4 linked regions of the Oryctolagus cuniculus genome follow. Each later gene encodes a partner of the first gene's protein in a complex. Links are inferred from orthologs where the notes say so. Each region holds a gene or a part of one and is shown in the gene's direction. Other genes may lie near its edges.

Region 1 (4,248 bases):
GAGCGAGCAGCCGCCGGGCTTGGTGGCTGCGCTTGCCGCAGCTTCTGCGGGCTAGCAGCGGAAAAGTAAAGCGACTGCCTGGGGACGGTCCTGGCGTGGCGCTGGGGGCTGCGGGATGACGGACCCGCCCTGCGGCCGGGGCCGGAGGCAGATGCCGCGCGCCTCGGCTGCTGTTGGTGCGGTGTTTGCGGGTTCCGCGCGCACGGGGTTGTGCGGTCTCCGAGACCACCCCCAAACCAGCCATAAACCCCGCAGCCGAAATCTTCCCCAGAGCGGAAGGATGTGTGGCGCTCTGAGACCTGCGCCCCGTGGGGCTCGGCTCCCCAGCGTGTCCCGCGACCCCCATTCCGTGCCGCCGCGGCCGCTACACTGCGGGGAGGCGGGGGGCTTGGCTTGGTTCTCCATGGTGCAGTCAGGAGACCCCCATATTGCGTCGCATCATTGTCCACAAAAACAGAGGGACCCCTTACTGCGCCGCCCACGGCCACTGCGGAGACCCCAGGAGCCACGGGGGTGGGCGATGCTAAAGTGCCTCGCCACGGCGGACCGCGGCAAGTGTACCCAAGGCGTTTTACAAAACAAACTGTGCGCTCGCTCTCGACAGCCCCCCTCGCTCCTCATCCTCCTCCCTGCCCTTCCGGTGGGCTCACGACCACCTGTCGCATTCCCGCGCGCGCACGCCACTGTCCCCGGGCATCTAGAGCCTTACGCTTGGCTCGAGATCTGGGGCTAGGGGCTTCGGCGCAGGGGTGCAGGGGTATCCTGGGGTGAAGGAAGAAAAAGAAAGCCCTCTGCAGTCCCCCGCCCCCCGAGGAGAGTCGGCGCGGGCGGGGAGGGAGCGATTCTGCTCCTGTTCTCCAGCATCCCGAGGCCCACGTCTTGTGTCACGTGTCTCGCTCGCAACGCAGGAGAGCTTTGTGTGGCCAAGGGGAGAAGCGAGGAGAAAGGCTCCAAATCAGTCAGGGAGAGGCGTGGAAGGAGCCCAAACGTCCCTGCGAGGCCTGCGCTCGCCAGCCCCTTACCCAAAGCCGGGCCGGCGGTGCAGGGAACCAGCTTGGCACCGGGACCTGCGTCCTCTGGTGGCAGAGAGAGCGCGCGACTGGCGATTTTCGGACCGAATCGGCACGCTCCTCAAATCCAAGCAGTCTGTGTTGGCCTGGAGCAGAGAGAGAGAGAGAGAGAGAGAGAGAGAGAGGAGGGGACGAAGGCCGAGCAGGCCGGGTGGGGGCCTGAGGGAATCACCAGTGGCCAGGAAGGAGCCAAGACTTCACCAGCCAGAACTGCACTGCCTTGGCCATGGTCTGGGGTTCTAGGCCCTGAGTGCGCTCGGGAAGTGAGGCCGCAGAACTTCCCAGCTGGTACTTTTTTCTTTCTTCCTTTCAAATAATTTTTTTCACCCTAGTTCGGTTGGGTGCTCCGTCTCACGGAGCCCCCACATCATTGTAAGAGGCCGCCACCGTGTTATGGGCCTGCGCTACTGCCTCGACGGCAATAATATGTCAGGACAACGCCATCTCCCCCCTGAAGTCGGGGAGCAGCCTCCACAGCCAGCCTTGGAGGCCCCAGGGCCAGCTGCCCCCGGTGCTGGGCCTGGCCCAGCCGAAGAGATGGAGACCCAGCCGCCTGCCAGCGAGCCCGTCCCCGCACAGGCTGGCGCCGAGGCCTGTGAACCCCCTGAGGTCTCCGGGGGCACCCTGGAGGGCCTCGCCGTGGCAGCTGACCAGGAATTCGGAGGCGATGGAGGCTACAGCCCACCTCCCGAGGAAGCCATGCCTTTTGAGGTCCAGCAGCCCAGCGTGGGAGGCTTCTGGCCCACCCCAGGGCCCATCGCAGGCCTCGAGGCCTCTGTGGATCCCGGAGTCTCGGGCAGTGCCGGGCCTGGCCTGGGAGGCTACAGCCCCCCACCAGAAGAAGCCATGCCCTTTGAGTTCGAGGAGCCTGCTGGCCAGGGAGGCTGCAGCCAGCCAGCATCGGGGGTCCCCGACCTCGCTCCCGGTGGCACAGACCTGGGGGTCCCTGGAGCTCCTCCCGGGAAGTCCGGGGCGCTCAGGCCTGCCAGCGCTGGCCTTGGAGGAGGCTATAGCCCTCCCCCCGAGGAGGCTATGCCATTTCAGCTTGATGGAGAGGCCTTTGGGGACGACAGCCCACCCCCCGGGCTCCCCCGAGCGCTCCCACAAGTTGCCAACGGCGACGGTGGCAGCAGCGCGGCAATCGCGGTCCCGAGTGCGGTCTGCCTCGCTCCCGCCACCGACGCGCCACCCCTCTGGGTCCCAGAGGCTGTCAGAGCTGCTGCTAACTTCGCGGGCGCCAGCCCCCCGATGGAGATCGCCGGACCCCCGCTCGAGATGCGCAGCGCCCCCGTCGGGGTCGACGACGCTCCCGTCAGCATGGACAGCCCCCCAATCGCGAGTGATGGCCCGCCCATCAAGGTCTCCGGAGCCCCAGATAAGAGGGAGCGCGGCGAGAGACCCCCAGTTGAGGGTGAAGCAGCCGAGATGGAAGGAGGCTCGGTCAGCGCCTCTGCGGAGAAAGGAGAAGTCCCCTCTCCGGGGGACGGAGCCTCGGGCGCCCCAGCTGGGGCCGCTCCCGCCGCCGGAGCCGCTCCCGCCGCCCCGGCGGAGCCCGAAGCCGGGGGAGCCCCGGCCGCTCCTGGCACTGCGGCCGCCGGGGCAGCCCCGGCCGATGCCGAAGCCGACGCCGACACCCGCGCAGCCCCCGGCGCCGCAGCCGCTCCTGATGCCGGGGCAGCCCCTGCCGCCGGTGGAGCCCCTGGTGCCCCGGCCGAGCACGCCGCAGCCGCCGGGGCCCCCCAGGCAGCCCCCGCCGCGCCTGCCTCCGGGGCCAGACGCAGGCTCCATCTGCTCAGACCCCCCAGCCCCGAGATCCAGGCTGCTGACCCGCCTACTCCGCGGCCTGCTCGCGCGGCTGCCTGGCGGGGCAGAGCTGAGCGCGGCCGAAGCCGCCGCCGCTACGACGACGAGGGGTCGACCAGCGGCGACGCCGACTCCTCCAGCGGGGACGAGTCCGAAGAGCGGGCCGCCGGCTGCTTCCACTGGTTCCAGCGCCGCACACGCCGCCGCCGCAAGCCCCGGCGCAACTTGCTCCGCAACTTCCTCGTGCAGGCTTTCGGGGGCTGCTTCGGTGGTCGATCTGAGAGCCCCCAGCCCAAGCCCGCGAGCCCCAGCAAGGCCAAGAAGGTTTCTCTGGCAGAGAAGCGCCGACAGATGCGCAGGGAGGCCATGGAGAAGCGCGCCCAGAAGCGCGCCGAGAAGAAACGCAGCAGGCTCATCGACAAGCAGCTGCAGGCCGAGAAGATGGGCTACATGTGCACTCACCGCCTGCTGCTTCTAGGTAACGCGGCGGCGGACTCTGCCCAGGGGCAGCAGCCCCGCCGGGGACCGGGGAGGGGGCGCGGGGCGCGGGGCTCGGCCGCGGGAGGAGGGGGCACGGCCAGGAAGTTCCACGGAGGGACCCTAACTTTGCCCCGGGCGCGGGAGGGGAGCTGGGGCGGGTTCGGGTGGCCGAGGTGTGTGCCCTCCAGGGAGAAAAGTGGTGCCGAGCGACACTGAGGGTCGTTTCCGGCTGGACAGGCCAGCGCCAGCGACCGTAAGCTGGACAGGCGGGGGCTTCAGGTGAGCCGGGAACTGCCGGAAAGGGGCGCCCACTCTCCGCCGGCTTAGGTTTGTTGGGGCCGCGGTGGGCTAGGGCCATCGGGGAAGGCGCGCCCCCGCCTCGCCTGGCACGGCTTGTTCTCGGCCAGCTTGTCGTTGGTGTGTGTCGGTGTGCGTATTCTCTGTGTCCGCCTGTGCATGACACGCTCAAGTGTTCCCCATCCCCGGCAACCCCCCCATCCCCGGATTACCCGCCGACCGTGTACTTGTACTTGGGGACGGGCTGTCGTGATGCGCGCCATGGCGCGGGCTGAAACTTTGCGCGTCTGCACACTCGTATGACACCTGTGCGCCGGCACTCCGCGGCGGAACCCGGCTGGGCCACCGGCCCGGGGGGGCGCCTCGGTAACCTTGTTCCTCTGTGTCTTTCTCTCTTTCTCCCTGTGCGCTAAGTGTTTCCTCACTTCTCATTCGTTCGCCAAACCCTCCCGCCTTTACAGTTGAAAAACCAGACACGCAGCACAGGTATCTGGGGCATTGGGGCTGCACACTGGATTTCAGCATTGCGCACAAGCACACTCACCTGGAGGGGGATGGGAAGTGGCTGGGGTGGGGGATGGAGGACATCTAGCCTGCT
Region 2 (5,133 bases), on another chromosome or scaffold:
TGGCTGTGCTGCTGATTGGGGCAGCAGGACCGAGTCACCTTTCTCAGGGTGAGTTCTGCATCAGCTCAGGATGAGGAGCAGCGGGGCCGGGCTCAGGTGGAGGCAGTGATACTGAGAGACTGAAGAAGATGCCGACAGCATCCTGCTAGCTGCATCCCAGTAAATCGGACTTCCGTGTCAAGCAGCCCAGCCTGGCAGCTGGTAAGAGTGAATGTAGGTGAGAAGCATCACCTTATTCCGGTAACAAGAGGACTCTTTTGTGATAAGTGAAATTAGGAATTTGCAGGAAGAATACCCTGTGGCTATTTTAAAAGAAGAAGGACCTCACCGAATGGCTTGGTGTTGCACCAGAAAATAACTTTGAGAAGAATGCTTTCTGCTAAGCTGCTGCCTTGTTCCTGAAGGAAGTGCTTTTATTTCTAGTGCATGCTGTTTCTTCAAAAGGTATGCGAGCACAGATGGACAAGGTGCTGTCTGAGATGCCCGAGCTTTAAAAGACTTTGCAAACGTTCACCTGGTAGCAGAATGACCTTGGAAGCCGTTTTGGATGGATTTTATCCTGCCAGTCTTTCCGTATTTCAAACATTAGGATGTAAACTCATCTTGATGCATTGGGGGTATTCTAATACAAGACTGTATTGTAGCTTCCTACCTAATGGCCCCTATATCAATTGAGCATTTGCTCAAAGGAGAACACAGAAATAGAAGAGACATTTCTTAGCATATGGGTGCTTCATAACTGCAAATATAGTAAATATGGTTATTTTCCACTTTCAGAAGATCTTGCTGAAGAAATGATTTAGTGTTAATCATCTAATGACAATTGAAAAGGTATAGCAAAATAGAGTATAAAGCCTACTAGAAATACCTGTCATTAATAATGACGTTATTTCTAATCTAAGCTCAGAGCATATAGGAAAGTTTATGCTACTGTCTAAATTTCGTAAATGTTTACATACATGTGAGGTATAGGTATGCTTGCAAAGGTGAAAATTAACTGAGCTATCTGTTTTATTATGTTTCACTAAATGGAAAGAGGCATATCAATTAATGCAAGTTATTTTCAGTTATACTTGTAACTGTTGGAATTGATGGCAAAAAGTATTTATTTTTATTTTGAAAGGGAAGAGGTATAAATTACATTGGTGGTAGGAGCATTGGTATCTATAATGGGCTGAAATTGTTTGTATCTAAATGCTTAAAAAAGTATGCAGAATTAAAACTTTAGAAGTTCATAATTTGTCATTTGTTAATTGTTGTATATTTTCTTCCCTATTGAAAACACACTTTTTTTCTCACAAAAGTTACAGGGCAGTCTGGAGTCTGTTTGTGAAACCTATTCTGCTCTTTGTGCCCACAGAAAGATAAATCTTTGAAATTGACCTTAATAAGGTGTTTTCTTAATTTTTTTAAAAAATGAGAGAAACGTGGACTATAAAGTTGACCTACCAGCAGCAAATCCTGAACTGAGCCCAAAGATACTCTTTGCCACAATGAACTGTTTCTTTTCCTCCCAACCAAATGTGAGCTCTTAATTATTTAAATTCTAAGATTTGAATGGTTTTTCCTAAGTGAAGCAGGAAGCCCGAGACAATTTAAGACTTTCTTTTCTCATTCTTCCTAGTTGATCTCTAGGACAGTAGTACCTCTTTCAGGAGGACGAAGGACCACAGAAGCTCTGTCTCCCCTGGCCATCGTGTCTGTGCGTGCTTGCCTTCTTTTTACAGATGTCATTTTTCACAGTGCAGGGTAGGAAGACATGCTTTTCTCTAGACGTGCCTTGTATCTGCACAAAGTTGTTTGCGAGCACTGGAAGGAGCTAATCGGTGACCTGTTTTCACCTCCTTTCTAGCTAACTCCCCTCCTCCTCTTCCCCCCAAAGCTGAGGTGTGTCACTGCTGAACTGAGGCAGAGGAGGAGACTGGAGCACTCTTTGGGACACTCAGCTGTGACAGAAGCTCTGACACTGTCTACTGCAGCAGGTTCTGAGCCACTTGTGTGCAGAGTGGAACAGATGCTGGGCAGGGCACTTGCTTGGCGCAGCCAAGACTGCGGGTTCCCCTGATTCAAGCCATGAATGATTCTAAGTGGACTGACTGGCGGATCGTGAACATGAGCAGTGGCATTGTGAACGTGTCCGAGCATCACTCCTGCCCGCTTGGATTTGGCCACTACAGCGCGGTGGATGTCTGCATCTTTGAGACGGCCGTGATTGTCTTGCTGACATTTCTGATCATTGCTGGAAATCTCACAGTCATCTTTGTCTTTCACTGTGCTCCACTCCTACACCACTATACTACCAGCTATTTCATTCAAACAATGGCGTACGCTGATCTTTTCGTTGGAGTTAGCTGCCTGGTTCCCACTCTCTCACTTCTCCACTACTCCACAGGTGTCCACGAGTCGTTGACTTGCCAGATTTTTGGATATATCATTTCCGTTCTGAAAAGTGTTTCCATGGCTTGTCTGGCTTGCATCAGTGTGGATCGCTATCTTGCAATAACCAAGCCTCTGTCCTACAATCAGCTGGTCACTCCTTGTCGCCTGAGGATTTGCATTATTTTGATCTGGCTCTACTCCTGCCTGATCTTCTTGCCTTCCTTTTTCGGCTGGGGGAAACCTGGTTACCATGGTGACATTTTTGAGTGGTGTGCCACCTCTTGGCTCACGAGTGCCTATTTCACTGGCTTCATTGTTTGTTTACTTTATGCTCCTGCTGCCTTTGTTGTCTGCTTCACTTACTTCCACATTTTCAAAATCTGCCGGCAGCACACCAAAGAGATCAGTGACCGAAGAGCCCGGTTCCCTAGCCATGAGGTAGACGCCTCTAGAGAGACTGGACACAGTCCTGACCGCCGCTACGCCATGGTTTTGTTTAGGATAACCAGTGTGTTTTACATGCTGTGGCTCCCTTATATCATTTACTTTCTTCTGGAAAGCTCCCGAGTCTTGGACAGTCCGACATTGTCGTTCTTAACGACCTGGCTGGCTATAAGTAACAGTTTCTGTAACTGTGTGATCTACAGCCTCTCCAACAGCGTTTTCCGGCTTGGCCTCCGCAGACTGTCCCAGACAATGTGCACGTCTTGTATGTGTGTGGACGGTCAGGAAGCACGAGACCCCAAGCCTAGGAAACGGGCTAATTCCTGCTCCATTTGAGGAGAGCCACACAGACAATCACATGCAGCCTGACAGTGATTCTGGATTGTATTCTTGATTCATCTGGAAATTGCCACCAGAGAAACACTTACTTGAATAGTTGACTGTGAAATGAAGGATGAAACTAAAGGTTTCTCACCCCCCCCCATGGAAAAAACTAAAGGAAAGATGTATAGACGGTAACTTAAAGAGATAATTATAGTGTGTGAGTATAAATGTACAGTATTAAGGAAAATTAAGTGCTGAGGATGAAAAAGGTGTCTCAGTTCTTGTCTAGGACAGGAGCAAGCCCCCTGGATGTCTCTGTCTCCCTGTCTGTATTCTCTGCCTGTCTGTCTGTCTCTGATTTTGTGGCTCTCCATTTCTTTGACTCTCTGTGTTTATAAAAGTTGTCACTTAGCTAAATTGCCCCTTATAGAAAAATGCTACATATTATATATGTGGCAAAGTATAACCTTTGCATCAAAGTGTATTTTTAAGCACACTAATTATAATCCCTAAGTGGTCTCTTCTTGGAGGATCTGCAGTAGTGTTTTTTATTACTTGCCACAGGACCCTTTAGTTTATGTTTTTGTAATCTTTGCTGCAGAAATTTCCTGCTACAAACAAAAGCAAACAGTACTTTAGTTTCTTCTAGGTAAAGTGGCATTTGCTTTTTTCCCCCTCTTCTTAACAACCTACTTTTTTTTCCTCTCTCCATTTTTCTTGATCTGCATCCTTTTTATAATTTACTCCCGGAACTGGCTTAGCTAATAAAGGAAGCTACTGCAAAAAACAATCATAATGTGAAATAATTTATTCCTTTCAACGAAGCAATCTAGTAGTAGCCTGTTGGAGAGATTGTGTTATATATTTTAAATGGCTTTGGAAATATTTTTATATGATTCCTTTTAAATTAATTCATGTGTCTAATGCAGTGTCATTTTGCTGTGGTACACCTTGGTTTTTCTTTAAAAAAACCCACCAGTGATTTTAATGCAGAGTCTGGGTGTTCACCAAGCAGTAAGTTGTTACTCTTAATGCCACTTGGAATGTTCTTTAAAAAAAAAAAAAAAAGTAAAATGTTAACCTTTCTGTGTTAGGTCTCCAATAACTTCCTGTTATATTCCCTAGTCCTTTATGTGATAGGAGCTTGCACATACTATATTTTTTACAACAAAGAAAATATAAAATATATTATGTGATCTGTGCCTAATGTTTTCTTAGCACAATATATAGATCAATGTTGCTTCAGTTGTCAACATTGGGAAAAATATATACAAAAACTTATTTTAAGAGAAAAATACTTTTGTGTAGATATTATTTAGATATTTATATTAGACAAAGCTGCATCCTTAGTGCTGCTGAGATTATAATGTACTTAGTTATTACATACAGGTAAGAGCTGTCAGTATTTTCTTTTGTAACGATCTGTTTTCAGATGCAGAGATTAACTTATTTTTAGTGTGCTATATGGGACGGTGTAGTATATTGTTAGGGGTTTAGGTGAGGTGAGAAGACATTTGGAGAATTAGTTGTGAAGCAGGTATGAACAGTAAAATATCTAAATCTTTTTTTATTTTTACTGAGAGTTTCCTGCCTGAAGATATTTTAAAATTTCTATCAAAATACTGAGCATTTTTCTTCTCAGCATTTTTTGATTTCCTTGTTGTATGAAGTGCATTTAATGAAACGTGCCTATGACCTCAAGTTAGCAGCCAGCTCTGTTTGCACATTGGTGGTTCGATTTTGGAGACCTTTTGTGAAAATACTGTTGTTCTGAACCTCTGGCTATTTTCAACATGTAAGAAAGGTTTAAATAAAGAGTAAACTAGTATTCTATATCAAAATCAGGCTTTGCTTCTGTTTAATTAAATGCTTGTTTAGAACAAGACTTTACTTGTTTGGGAATTAAAATCTACTTGTCTTAGACTTCTGTAGTGTGGGTTTATATTGACTCTTGTCCTTTGTTTGCCTGTACCATCTTGGGTGAGT
Region 3 (5,223 bases), on another chromosome or scaffold:
CCGCCGCTCGCCCTTCCCGGCGCTGGCTCCCGCGGTCTCCGGCTCATCGCGGACCCTGTTTTTGCACCTTCTGCCCCATCTTCCTCCCCTCCCAAATCCTCACCCCAGACCTTCCCTGGGGGCCGGGAAGCTGCTTAGGAGTGGGGGCAGGGGGCAGTGGGATGGCGACCTGGAGCAGGTGGTCTCAGCGCCCCCTGCCCGGGTCACCCGCTGCTCCTGAGGTCCCTCGCACCCCACCGTTAGGTTTCAGGAATTCCTGGCTGGGGGGGGGGGGTGGACTTCCTCCCCCACTTCCTTCCAAAATTTGGCCGGTCACCGTTAACTCCTTCCTGCCTTGTCCTCACCCCCCCACACACACTTCACTTGCACACACGCACACACGCACACACGTGTGTACCGGCTGAGCAGTTTCTGTGAAGCGTGGGGTGTGTGTGCATGCGTGTGTGTGTGTGTGTGTGTGTGTGAGAGAGAGAGAGAGAGAGAGAGAGATGGATGGTGGGATGCAAGTTGGATTCTCCCCGTGCCCCCTGAGCCCGTGGAGGGAGCCTCCCACCCAGCCCTGTCTCCGTGGAGGAGGTTTAGGGTGAGGAGGGGCTGGGGGGCCGTGGAGAGCCCCCTGAACCCTTGCACCTGAGCACCTTAGGATGGCAGGATCCGGAGGCTGGTGCGCTCACCGGGCAGGACTGGAAACCCCAGATCCTGTAGGCAGCTGGGTGCTCCTTCCGTCCAGAAGCGCCAGCCTGGAAGTCTTGGCTGTTCTCAGCTTGGAGCTCCAGCTGGGCTGGGGAGCTGCGTAAGCCACACACACCCCCCAGCGGGTGACAGGTGGGGAAACCGAGGCACACTGCCAGTCAGAGAGCCAGGCTCCCCCCCCACACCGCCCTGCCCTGGGGAAGGGGAGCTTCAGGACCCCAAATCCAGAGTGCTGGCCTCCTTTGCTGCCGCTGCCTAGACTTGCTTTGGGGGATCCGGCTTGGCTGCCAGGGAGCGAGGGGTGGGTGCCTGGCGAGAATCCAGAAGGGAGGGTGCAGAGCAAATATTTCTGGAACCTTGCTGCCGAGGTGGGGGCGGGGTGTGTGTGGGTGGGTGGTGGGTGGGTGGGGACTGTTGGTGGGGGTGGAATGGGCGGAGCTTCAGAGGAGGGGGGAGAGAGAAGAGTGCGGGGGAGCGGGGTTTGACACCCGCACCCCCCCACCCTCCCCAGGAAGCCCACTGTTCCCTTGGGACACGGCCTGTAATTTGGTTTGTGTCTAGACAAATAATAACGCGGCCGGTGTGAGCCAGGAGAGCTGGGGCCCCGGCGGAGCTAGGGCTGGGGAAGCAGCCGGGGTGTCTGATGTCCCCTCCCTCCCCAGGTGGTGGGAATCCGGGGTGCAGGTGGCGGGGGCGCCCAGCCGCCCCCTGTCCCCGCCGCCAGGTCTCAGGACTCTGCTCCACCTTGGAAACCGGGCTGCAGGAATTGGAGATGAGAGCAGGTCTCGGGAACAGAGAGCGAGCGAGGGGGGCGCGCCCCGATTCTGTAGAAAAAGGGAAATGCGTGTTTGCGGGGCAGAGATAAAAATCAGTGAGGTTTAATAATAGATCCAGAAAGTCATGGAGTGTTCAAACAAAAAAAAAATCATAGAGCATTCTAACAATAGAACCGGAGAGTCCTGGAATGTGAGACTTTGGAGTATTGAAAACACAGAAGGTTATGCACTTCCAAAGCCCGGGTGGCCACAATAGCAGCACGGAGGGGAGGGAAGGTCTAGAATGCTACAGAACGTTCTATCCTGCAGAACTGGACCGACTATAGAACCTGGAAACGCCTGGAATGTAGAACATCAGGCGGGCACAGGCTGAGGACCCCAGTGTCCCTCTGGGGCAGCGTGGGCAAGGGGGTGGTGGAGACCCATCCCCTCCCCGGGGGTAGAAGTGGGGAAACTGAGGCCCGCAGGGCGGCCAGGGTGGCCTCGCTGCCCCTGGTTTCCGCCGGCTGCCAGGGCAGCAGGTGGGGAGCGCTGGCGGGGCGGTGATCACATTTCATCCCTAATGAACAGACCGGCGCTGGCTGGTCCCCTGGGGCCGCTGGGGAGGGGGCAGCCAGAGCCCACAGAGAGGGGGGAAGGGAGACCACCTGGTGGCTTCAGGCACAGGCCAGCCGGCCGGTGAGTGAGCTGGGGGTGTGGGGTCTGCATCGCTTCCCCCTCTTGTCCTCTCAACCTCCTCCCCCCGCCGTGAGTCCCTCAGCCTTGCTGATCTGGGGGTACCTGCCGGTGCCTAGGGACTTATCTGAGCTGGAGCAGCGGGGGGCCTGCAGAGAGGCGAGGGCTGAACAGTATCTGCCCTTCCTCACCATCGCTTCACACCAGGGCTTATCTCTCTTCCCTGCCCTCTGCAAGGGGCCAGCACCGACCTCAGGGAGGGGGTGGGGGCGGGACCTGCAAGAGGCAGCAGGAACCGACCGCTGACCGCAGGACCTGGGAGACAGGGAGAGCTTCCTGTTGGCTGCCAGATTTGGGGGTTCGCCCCAACAAAGCCCCAGTAAGGAAGTCAGCTTAGAGCCTAACGGCAGAAGGTCCTGCCCCAGGGGCTGGCGGGGGAGGCCAGGGGACGGAGGGACACTGGGTCACTTGCTCTGCTTGTGGTGGCAAGGCCTGCGTTGGCCAGCACGTTCTCACGGGGCCCCCAGAAAGCCGTGGGGGGAAAGAATGGGAGTGCGGGAGGTGGGGAGAAAAGCCGCTGAGGGAGGGGGAGTCTGGGGCTCAGAGGCCACGGCCCCGTCACATGGTATGACTTAGGCAGCTGCTTTGCCGATCGGTTACCCCCGCTGTACCGGGGGAAGGGTCAGACATCGCCTGGCATAATGGCTTTGTAAAGGGCTGACATTCCTTGTCGGCTGCTGGGGGCTCAGTGCCGGGCAGATCTCAGGTTGAGAAGAAGAGGGAGTTGGCAGGGTGCCCTTCCCCCACGCCCAGCATCCCTAAGCAGCAGGTGCACTGGGGGGGGGCGGGGGGAAGGGGCGGGGCTGCGCTGGCTCCCCTGGAGGAAGTTAGCTGTGGGAAGTGTTACTTCCTCTGCCTGGTGTGTACCTGCTCCAGCCGCGCCACAACCCAGGGGACACACGGAGAGGGGTGGGGCGGACGTGATGGCCGGGCCCAGTGCTGGTCTCGGCTCTCCAGGGCCTGCTCATGGGACCACTGTCCAGACACTGCACGTGCGACCAGGGCCTCCGCGGTCTGCGCCCGGTAAAGGTTGTGTGCCCTCCCACGGGAGGGGCAGCTGAGGCCCCGCATCCCAGGAACGAGGAGGGAGAGACCAAGAGGCTATAGAGTGCTGGGGCCCGGAACCAAGTGGAGGAGGATGGGGAGGGGTTCAGCGGGGAGGGGCCGGAGGTGTTTGGAGGTCTGGGCTTGAAGGCAGGGGTCACACACCACCTCACTCTTCCATCGCCAGGACCCGGAGGCCACTGTGGGGTGGGGGTGGGGTGGGGGCGGGGAGCCAGCTGCAGCTGTGTCTGAGGACCCTGCAGCGGGTAGGCGGGGCTTACTGAGGGGGCCTGCCCTGCCCTTTCAAAGTCAGTTATGAAGCGGGGCACATCCTGCAGCCTGCCTCGGCTGCTTCTTTCCTCCGGGGGAGGGGGTCGGGCTGCCCAGTGCTGCCCCTATCCCGGGCCTCTGGCCTCTGCCCTCAATGGCTTCTGTGCATGGTCATTTATTGAACGCCTACTGTATGCTGAGGATTCTGCTGAAGGACCTGAGTGGCCGTTGGGAAAAGCAGAGACGGTACTGCTGCACAGGGCCAGGGCGGAGGGTGGCAGGGGCTCCTGGGACAGGTGCGGGACCCAGGGCTCAGTGTGGAGGTGGAGCGGGGAGGAGACTGGTGTCTGGGGGCTCCCCAGGGACCCCTGTTGTGACCGGAGGCTCATCCCTGTGCCTCTCTGTCCAGCAGACTGAGCCACTGGTTTCTAGCGTTGTGTCCTGCAGGTTCTTTTAATTTTCATTTTATTTGAAAGGCAGAGGGGTTGGCGCTGTGGCGTAGCAGGTAAAGCTGCTGCCTGCAGTGCCGGCATCCATATGGGCGCTGGTTCAAGTCCTGGCTGCTCCACTTCCGATCCATCTCTCTGCTATGGCCTGGGAAAGCAGTGGAGGATGGCCCAAGTGCTTGGGCCCCTGCATTCGTGTGGGAGACCCGGAAGAAGCTCCTGGCTCCTGGCTTCGGATCGGCCCAGCTCCGGCCGTTGAGGCCAATTGGGGAGTGAACCAGCAGATGGGCGACCTCTCTCTCTCTCTCTCTAACTCTGACTTTCAAGTAAATAAATAAATCTTAAAAAAAAAATTAAAAAAAGGCAGAGAGACAGACACAGAGAGAGATCTTCATCCACTGGTTTGCACCCCAAATGCCCACAACAGCCAGGGCTGGGCCAGGTCGAAGCCAGGAGCCGGGCACTCCATCCGGGTCTCCCACGTGAGTGCAGGGGCCCAAGTGCGTGAGCCCTCACCTGCTGCCTCCCAGCAGGGACCCAGAGCTGGGACTCCCTCCAGTCTCGGCCACTGTCTCTGCTCAGCGCCCGCCCTCCCCACCCCCTCTCCCTCAGAGCGCAGGGCGCCTTCCCCTTATTGCCCTCAGCCTGGGTTTCCAGTTAAGATCTTGTTTTAAAAAACAGAGAAAAAGATTTCCCATCCACTGAAAACCAAGCGGGCATGGCTGTGCGGGAGCCTGTGCCGCGGGGTTCGCTGCCCCTCCCTCTGGGGCTGACCGCAGTCGGGGTCTCGGCCCCTGCCTGTCCTCAGAGCTCTGCTTGTAGTTCTCCCCCGACCACGGGTGCCAGGCCCAGGGTTCTGTCCGCGAGGCTGGAGGGGGAGAGGAGGCCCCTCCCTGCTCCTCTGTCCCTCCTCGGCTGCCAGCCCACGGCTCCTCTGGACACAAGCAGGGCGCAGGCTGGAGCGGTCCCCTCCGCCCATCAGCACCCTGGACAGGTCCTGGCCTCAGTTTGTCAAATGGGGCCTCTCCTCTCCTCTTTATGGGATTCTGCAAGGTGCTCATGGGATGATGCCCACCCAGGTGCTGGGAACGGGGTCTGCCAGGGCTGGCGCACGGGGGCCGGAGCATCGCCCTCATCTCCCTGTTGGGAGTGGGGTGCCCTCACACGGCACCCCACAGGCATGTTGGCTATCATGCACCAGCTGAGAACAAAGCAAGGCTGTTTGACGTTGAAGATACAAATGGGTCCCGGCACCAGCC
Region 4 (4,045 bases), on another chromosome or scaffold:
CTCTTAATGTTTAATGTTAAATCATACCATTTGGCAAATGTAATAACGTTCTTCCCCCCAGTAAAAAGTGAATACTTTAAACTATGAGAATTCCAAAGTGGAGGCCACGGCAGGAGAAAACCAAACCAACAGAGGTAAAGTCCCCCCCCCCCCCCCCCCAGGTAGAATTTGTGAATGCCAGGTGCGACAGACTTTTTAAAACAGCTAGAACATTTCAGAGCCTGCTATAGAAGGTTAAGAGGAATAAAGAACACAATAGAATGAAACAAAACCCGGTGCTCTTTTTTCTTTTAATAATCATCTTCCTCTTTCTTGAAGTTATGGTAGTTCCACGATATCTGCTTCATTTCTACAATTGTTTCTACAAGGCTCTCTAAAGCACTCGCCGGCAGGTGGCGACATAAGCCCTTATTGCGTTGAGCTGTCCCAGGTGCTGAACCAGTTTCAGCTATTGAGAGAAGCTCAGGGGCTAGCCACCGGGGATTCCAAGTTCGCCGTACAGGTTTGCGGGCTTCAGTTAAAAGTGAAAAAGTCCCGATGGAATACAGGACGTCATTTCCAACAAATAGGCAAAATGTTTCCTGCTCTGAATTTTCCCACTTCAAAACTATCAGACGTGGCAGCATTCACTAAAATTAAAAGGACAATAGTGACAGAAAATTGTGTGGGCTTGTGTGTAGAATACATACCGAGGTGTGATTCCTCCCCTCACAGCTGTTTGCCTGTCCTTGTATTTTAACATGACTTTTATAATTCCGTTCTCCCTTAATTCCCCAACGTTAAAAAAGAGAAGGGAGTCATAGGCACCATTCGTCCGTAAGGAGTCAGGCTGGACTATTAGAGGATGGAAGGAGGTGACTTTTAAACAGCTAGGACACACTCCGTCTTTTAATCAAGTAAGGATCATTTACAGAGGGACCTGGGGCTGTCCACCTTTCCTCTCCGGCGTCGTGTATCCCTTTGCCTTATATCCTACAGCCACGCTGTGGTGCTGATTTTAAGGATTTGACAGAGATAAGAGGCAATGGATAGTTAGAAGGGGGGGGGGGAGAGTTTTTCCTCCTCTCGAGTTTGGCTGGGTGGGGGGCGGAGTTTACTTGTTACAACGCTGGTCTGGCGGATAGGGTGTGTGCAAACGAATTCTGAGTCTCTGTTGGCAGAAAGGGAGTCAGTGAAAGGACGCCGGGATAGAAGGAGAGGAGGGCGGGGACCCAGAGGGAAAAGGCGCCCAGGTTGGGGAGGTTTTCGGAGGGGAGGGCTAGCGTGGGAGGGAGGGAGACCGGCTGTGGAGCGACACACAGGGATAAAGAAAAGGAGGTGAGAGGGAGGAGGGAGGCCGAAAAGGAAGGTAGCGGGGAGAAGGGAGGAGGAGGAGGCTGAAGGGACCCAGAAGAGAAGGGAGGAGAGAGTGAGAGGGAGGCAGAGAGGGACGCAGGAGGGAGGGTCACAGAGCCAGCGCCTGGGACGATGGGGCTCCTCTATTCCAGATACTTCTGGGATTGGAGACTGTTTGCTAGTGGGGAGACTCCGGCTCCGGCAGCCAGTTGGGCAGCGACAAAGTAAAATGGACAGCGAGAGACTGACGCCCAAGCCACCTCTGCGCCGCCCGCAGATTCCGCAGCTGCTCTCGGGCCAACTCCAGTTGCCCCGCTGGAGCCTCTGAGCGCCCTGGACCGCGGGAGCGCACCGAGCGCCTGCAAGCTGCTACTGAGAGATGCCTTCGCCAGAGCAGTAAGAACTTCCCGCCGGAGTCCCTGCCTCCCCTTCCTCGGAAGCTCCCCGGGAGAAGGGGCGGAAGACCCCCGGGGGAGGGGCGAGGGGGATCCTCTCGCGGCTCCGTCTCCCCTCCCCCTCCCCCCGCCGGGCGCGCAGGCAGGCATGGATGTGCTCAGTCCCGGCCGGGGCAACAACACGACGTCGTCCCAGGGTCCCCTCGGGACAGGCGGCAACGCCACTGGCATCTCCGACGTGACCTTCAGCTACCAAGTAATCACCTCCCTGCTGCTGGGCACGCTCATCTTCTGCGCGGTGCTGGGCAATGCGTGCGTGGTGGCTGCCATCGCCCTGGAGCGCTCCCTCCAGAACGTGGCCAACTATCTCATCGGCTCTCTGGCGGTCACCGACCTCATGGTGTCCGTGCTGGTGCTCCCCATGGCCGCGCTGTACCAGGTGCTCAACAAGTGGACTCTGGGCCAGGTCACCTGCGACCTGTTCATCGCCCTCGACGTGCTGTGCTGCACTTCATCCATCCTGCACCTGTGCGCCATCGCACTGGACAGGTACTGGGCCATCACGGACCCCATCGACTACGTGAACAAGAGGACGCCCCGGCGTGCCGCCGCGCTCATCTCGCTCACTTGGCTCATTGGCTTCCTCATCTCCATCCCGCCCATGCTGGGCTGGCGCACCCCGGAAGACCGCTCCGACCCTGACGCGTGCACCATCAGCAAGGACCACGGCTACACCATCTACTCCACTTTCGGCGCTTTCTATATCCCGCTGCTGCTCATGCTGGTCCTCTACGGGCGCATCTTTCGCGCCGCGCGCTTCCGCATCCGCAAAACTGTCAAGAAGGTGGAGAAGAAAGGCGCAGACACCCGTTTTGGAGCTTCGCCGGCCCCACAACCCAGAAAGAGCGTGAACGGAGAGCCAGGGAGCAGAGACTGGAGGCAGGGCGTGGAGAACAAGGGTGTGGGGCTTGCGTGCGCCAACGGCGCGGTGAGACAGGGCGACGATGGCGCCGCCCTGGAGGTGATCGAGGTGCACCGGGTGGGCAACTCCAAGGAGCACCTGCCGCTTCCTAGCGAGGCGGGTGCCGCCGCCGGTGCCCCTGCCTCCTTTGAGCGGAAAAATGAGCGCAATGCCGAAGCCAAGCGCAAAATGGCCCTGGCCCGTGAGAGGAAGACGGTGAAGACACTGGGCATCATCATGGGCACGTTTATCCTCTGCTGGCTGCCCTTCTTCATAGTGGCCCTGGTCCTGCCCTTCTGCGAGAGCAGCTGCCACATGCCCACGCTGTTGGGCGCCATCATCAACTGGCTGGGCTACTCCAACTCTCTGCTCAACCCTGTCATTTATGCCTACTTCAACAAGGACTTTCAAAACGCGTTTAAGAAGATTATCAAGTGCAAGTTCTGCCGCCGATGATGCTGAAGGTGTAGCCGGCGAGTAGGGGTTGTAGGACCCACTCCATGTAGCCTGCTCCCCCAGCCCCTGGAACCATCGCCTAAGATAACTTGCTACTTTTCCTGGAACTTTTCTGCTGCGCCCAAGGCTTCCAGACGTCGCCCCCTCCCAAGCCCCTGCTCCCAGGGAGAGCGCTGTGTGCAGAGAAGCCCCAAGGTCTGTGAGAAGCAACGGTGTCTCAGTCTGCGGCCTCAGCAGCACTTTTGATTCCAGCAATTGCTGCCTTCAAATTCTGTCCCCCGGATCTGCGAGGTGGAAGCTTAAGCCCCAGGTATTCAAGGTAGAAAGTCCAATTAGAAAACTAAACAAGCAGCAACAATAACAACAAAAAACTGCCTACAGCTGCTGGGTCCACTAACAGCTTCCACCTGACGCCGAGCTTCTAGTGCTTGCATTTAAGGATAAGGATTTCGATCCATCTCTCCAGCCCTCTTCCCCTAGAAATATCCACTCTGTGTGTCTCCCTCTCCTCTTCCTCCCCCCGGCCTTCTTATCTGACCTTAAGCGTCTGGTCCCTTGCATGCCCTGATCCTCTGGTCCAGAAATCTGGGAAGGTCTGTTTTCCGCTGTGTCAGCGGTGCCCTGGGGATCTCCGCCGCCCAGTATAGACTGCTGTGCACTGTCCCTGCTTGCTCTGTGTTCTTGGACTGCAAACAAGGGCCCAGCAGGTGTGTCTTAGATTGCACTTGTAAGTACGCGGCCGGGCCAGTGGGGGAGAACGAGGACAGAGTGTGGACCATTTTGTCCGTGTTTACCTGGGTGTCAGCACTCACCAAAGAAACCGACAATCACGCAACGACGAAGGTGGACTTGGGAATTTATAGGTTGCTGGCGAGTCTGCACACGCAGGCGTGGCCTC

The links. The genes of interacting proteins can lie anywhere in the genome.
Region 2: the proteins of GNAS (region 1) and GPR52 are in contact, whole or in part, in a cryo-EM structure (PDB 8HMP), measured with the Homo sapiens proteins. The link is inferred for Oryctolagus cuniculus from reciprocal best matches to the Homo sapiens genes GNAS and GPR52. Residues at the interface, in NP_000507.1 of Homo sapiens: Lys34, Gln35, Arg38, Ala39, His41, Lys216, Val217, Phe219, Tyr318, Pro321, Arg342, Asp343, Leu346, Arg347, Thr350, Ala351, Tyr358, Cys359, Pro361, Phe376, Cys379, Arg380, Asp381, Ile383, Gln384, Arg385, His387, Leu388, Gln390, Tyr391; in NP_005675.3 of Homo sapiens: Tyr74, Arg139, Ala142, Ile143, Thr144, Pro146, Leu147, Asn150, Gln151, Thr154, Pro155, Ile226, Phe227, Ile229, Cys230, His233, Thr234, Glu236, Ile237, Arg240, Arg243, Phe244, Ser246, His247, Tyr263, Ala264, Met265, Phe268, Arg269.
Region 3: the proteins of GNAS (region 1) and GPR4 are in contact, whole or in part, in a cryo-EM structure (PDB 8Z9O), measured with the Homo sapiens proteins. The link is inferred for Oryctolagus cuniculus from reciprocal best matches to the Homo sapiens genes GNAS and GPR4. Residues at the interface, in NP_000507.1 of Homo sapiens: Gln31, Lys34, Gln35, Arg38, His41, Asp215, Lys216, Val217, Tyr358, Tyr360, Phe376, Arg380, Asp381, Ile383, Gln384, Arg385, His387, Leu388, Gln390, Tyr391, Glu392, Leu393, Leu394; in NP_005273.1 of Homo sapiens: Gln45, Arg49, Asn50, Leu52, Asp114, Arg115, Ala118, Val119, Ala120, His121, Pro122, Leu123, Arg124, Arg129, Arg130, Lys132, Tyr201, Ile204, Ala207, Val208, Gly210, Ser211, Val212, Ser213, Thr214, Glu218, Lys221, Ile222, Leu225, Asn290.
Region 4: the proteins of GNAS (region 1) and HTR1A are in contact, whole or in part, in a cryo-EM structure (PDB 9GL2), measured with the Homo sapiens proteins. The link is inferred for Oryctolagus cuniculus from reciprocal best matches to the Homo sapiens genes GNAS and HTR1A. Residues at the interface, in NP_000507.1 of Homo sapiens: Ala39, Asp215, Lys216, Val217, Arg342, Arg347, Thr350, Ala351, Gly355, Tyr358, Phe376, Arg380, Asp381, Ile383, Gln384, Arg385, His387, Leu388, Arg389, Gln390, Tyr391, Glu392, Leu393, Leu394; in NP_000515.2 of Homo sapiens: Asn69, Ala71, Asp133, Arg134, Ala137, Ile138, Pro141, Ile142, Tyr144, Val145, Asn146, Arg148, Ile218, Ala222, Arg225, Ile226, Lys228, Thr229, Lys232, Val233, Asn325, Arg327, Asn328, Lys332, Arg339, Lys342, Thr343, Thr346, Leu347, Asn404.

Annotation. Positions count from the first base shown.
Region 1 is NC_091442.1:3,426,355-3,430,602, reverse strand, and holds the start of GNAS (guanine nucleotide-binding protein G(s) subunit alpha isoforms XLas), read left to right. Parts: upstream 1-1,448; 5' UTR 1,449-1,463; coding exon 1,464-3,351; intron 3,352-4,248. UniProt on the Homo sapiens protein: Guanine nucleotide-binding proteins (G proteins) function as transducers in numerous signaling pathways controlled by G protein-coupled receptors (GPCRs).
Region 2 is NC_091438.1:2,810,026-2,815,158, forward strand, and holds GPR52 (G-protein coupled receptor 52), read left to right. Parts: upstream 1-1,935; 5' UTR 1,936-2,073; coding exon 2,074-3,159; 3' UTR 3,160-4,252; downstream 4,253-5,133.
Region 3 is NC_091449.1:11,334,598-11,339,820, forward strand, and holds the start of GPR4 (G-protein coupled receptor 4), read left to right. Parts: upstream 1-2,025; 5' UTR 2,026-2,031; coding exon 2,032-2,147; exon of another isoform or gene 2,148-3,455; intron 3,456-5,223. UniProt on the Homo sapiens protein: Proton-sensing G-protein coupled receptor activated by extracellular pH, which is required to monitor pH changes and generate adaptive reactions. Activated by an optimal pH of 6.8-7.2.
Region 4 is NC_091445.1:84,850,600-84,854,644, reverse strand, and holds HTR1A (5-hydroxytryptamine receptor 1A), read left to right. Parts: upstream 1-1,878; coding exon 1,879-3,147; downstream 3,148-4,045. UniProt on the Homo sapiens protein: G-protein coupled receptor for 5-hydroxytryptamine (serotonin). Also functions as a receptor for various drugs and psychoactive substances.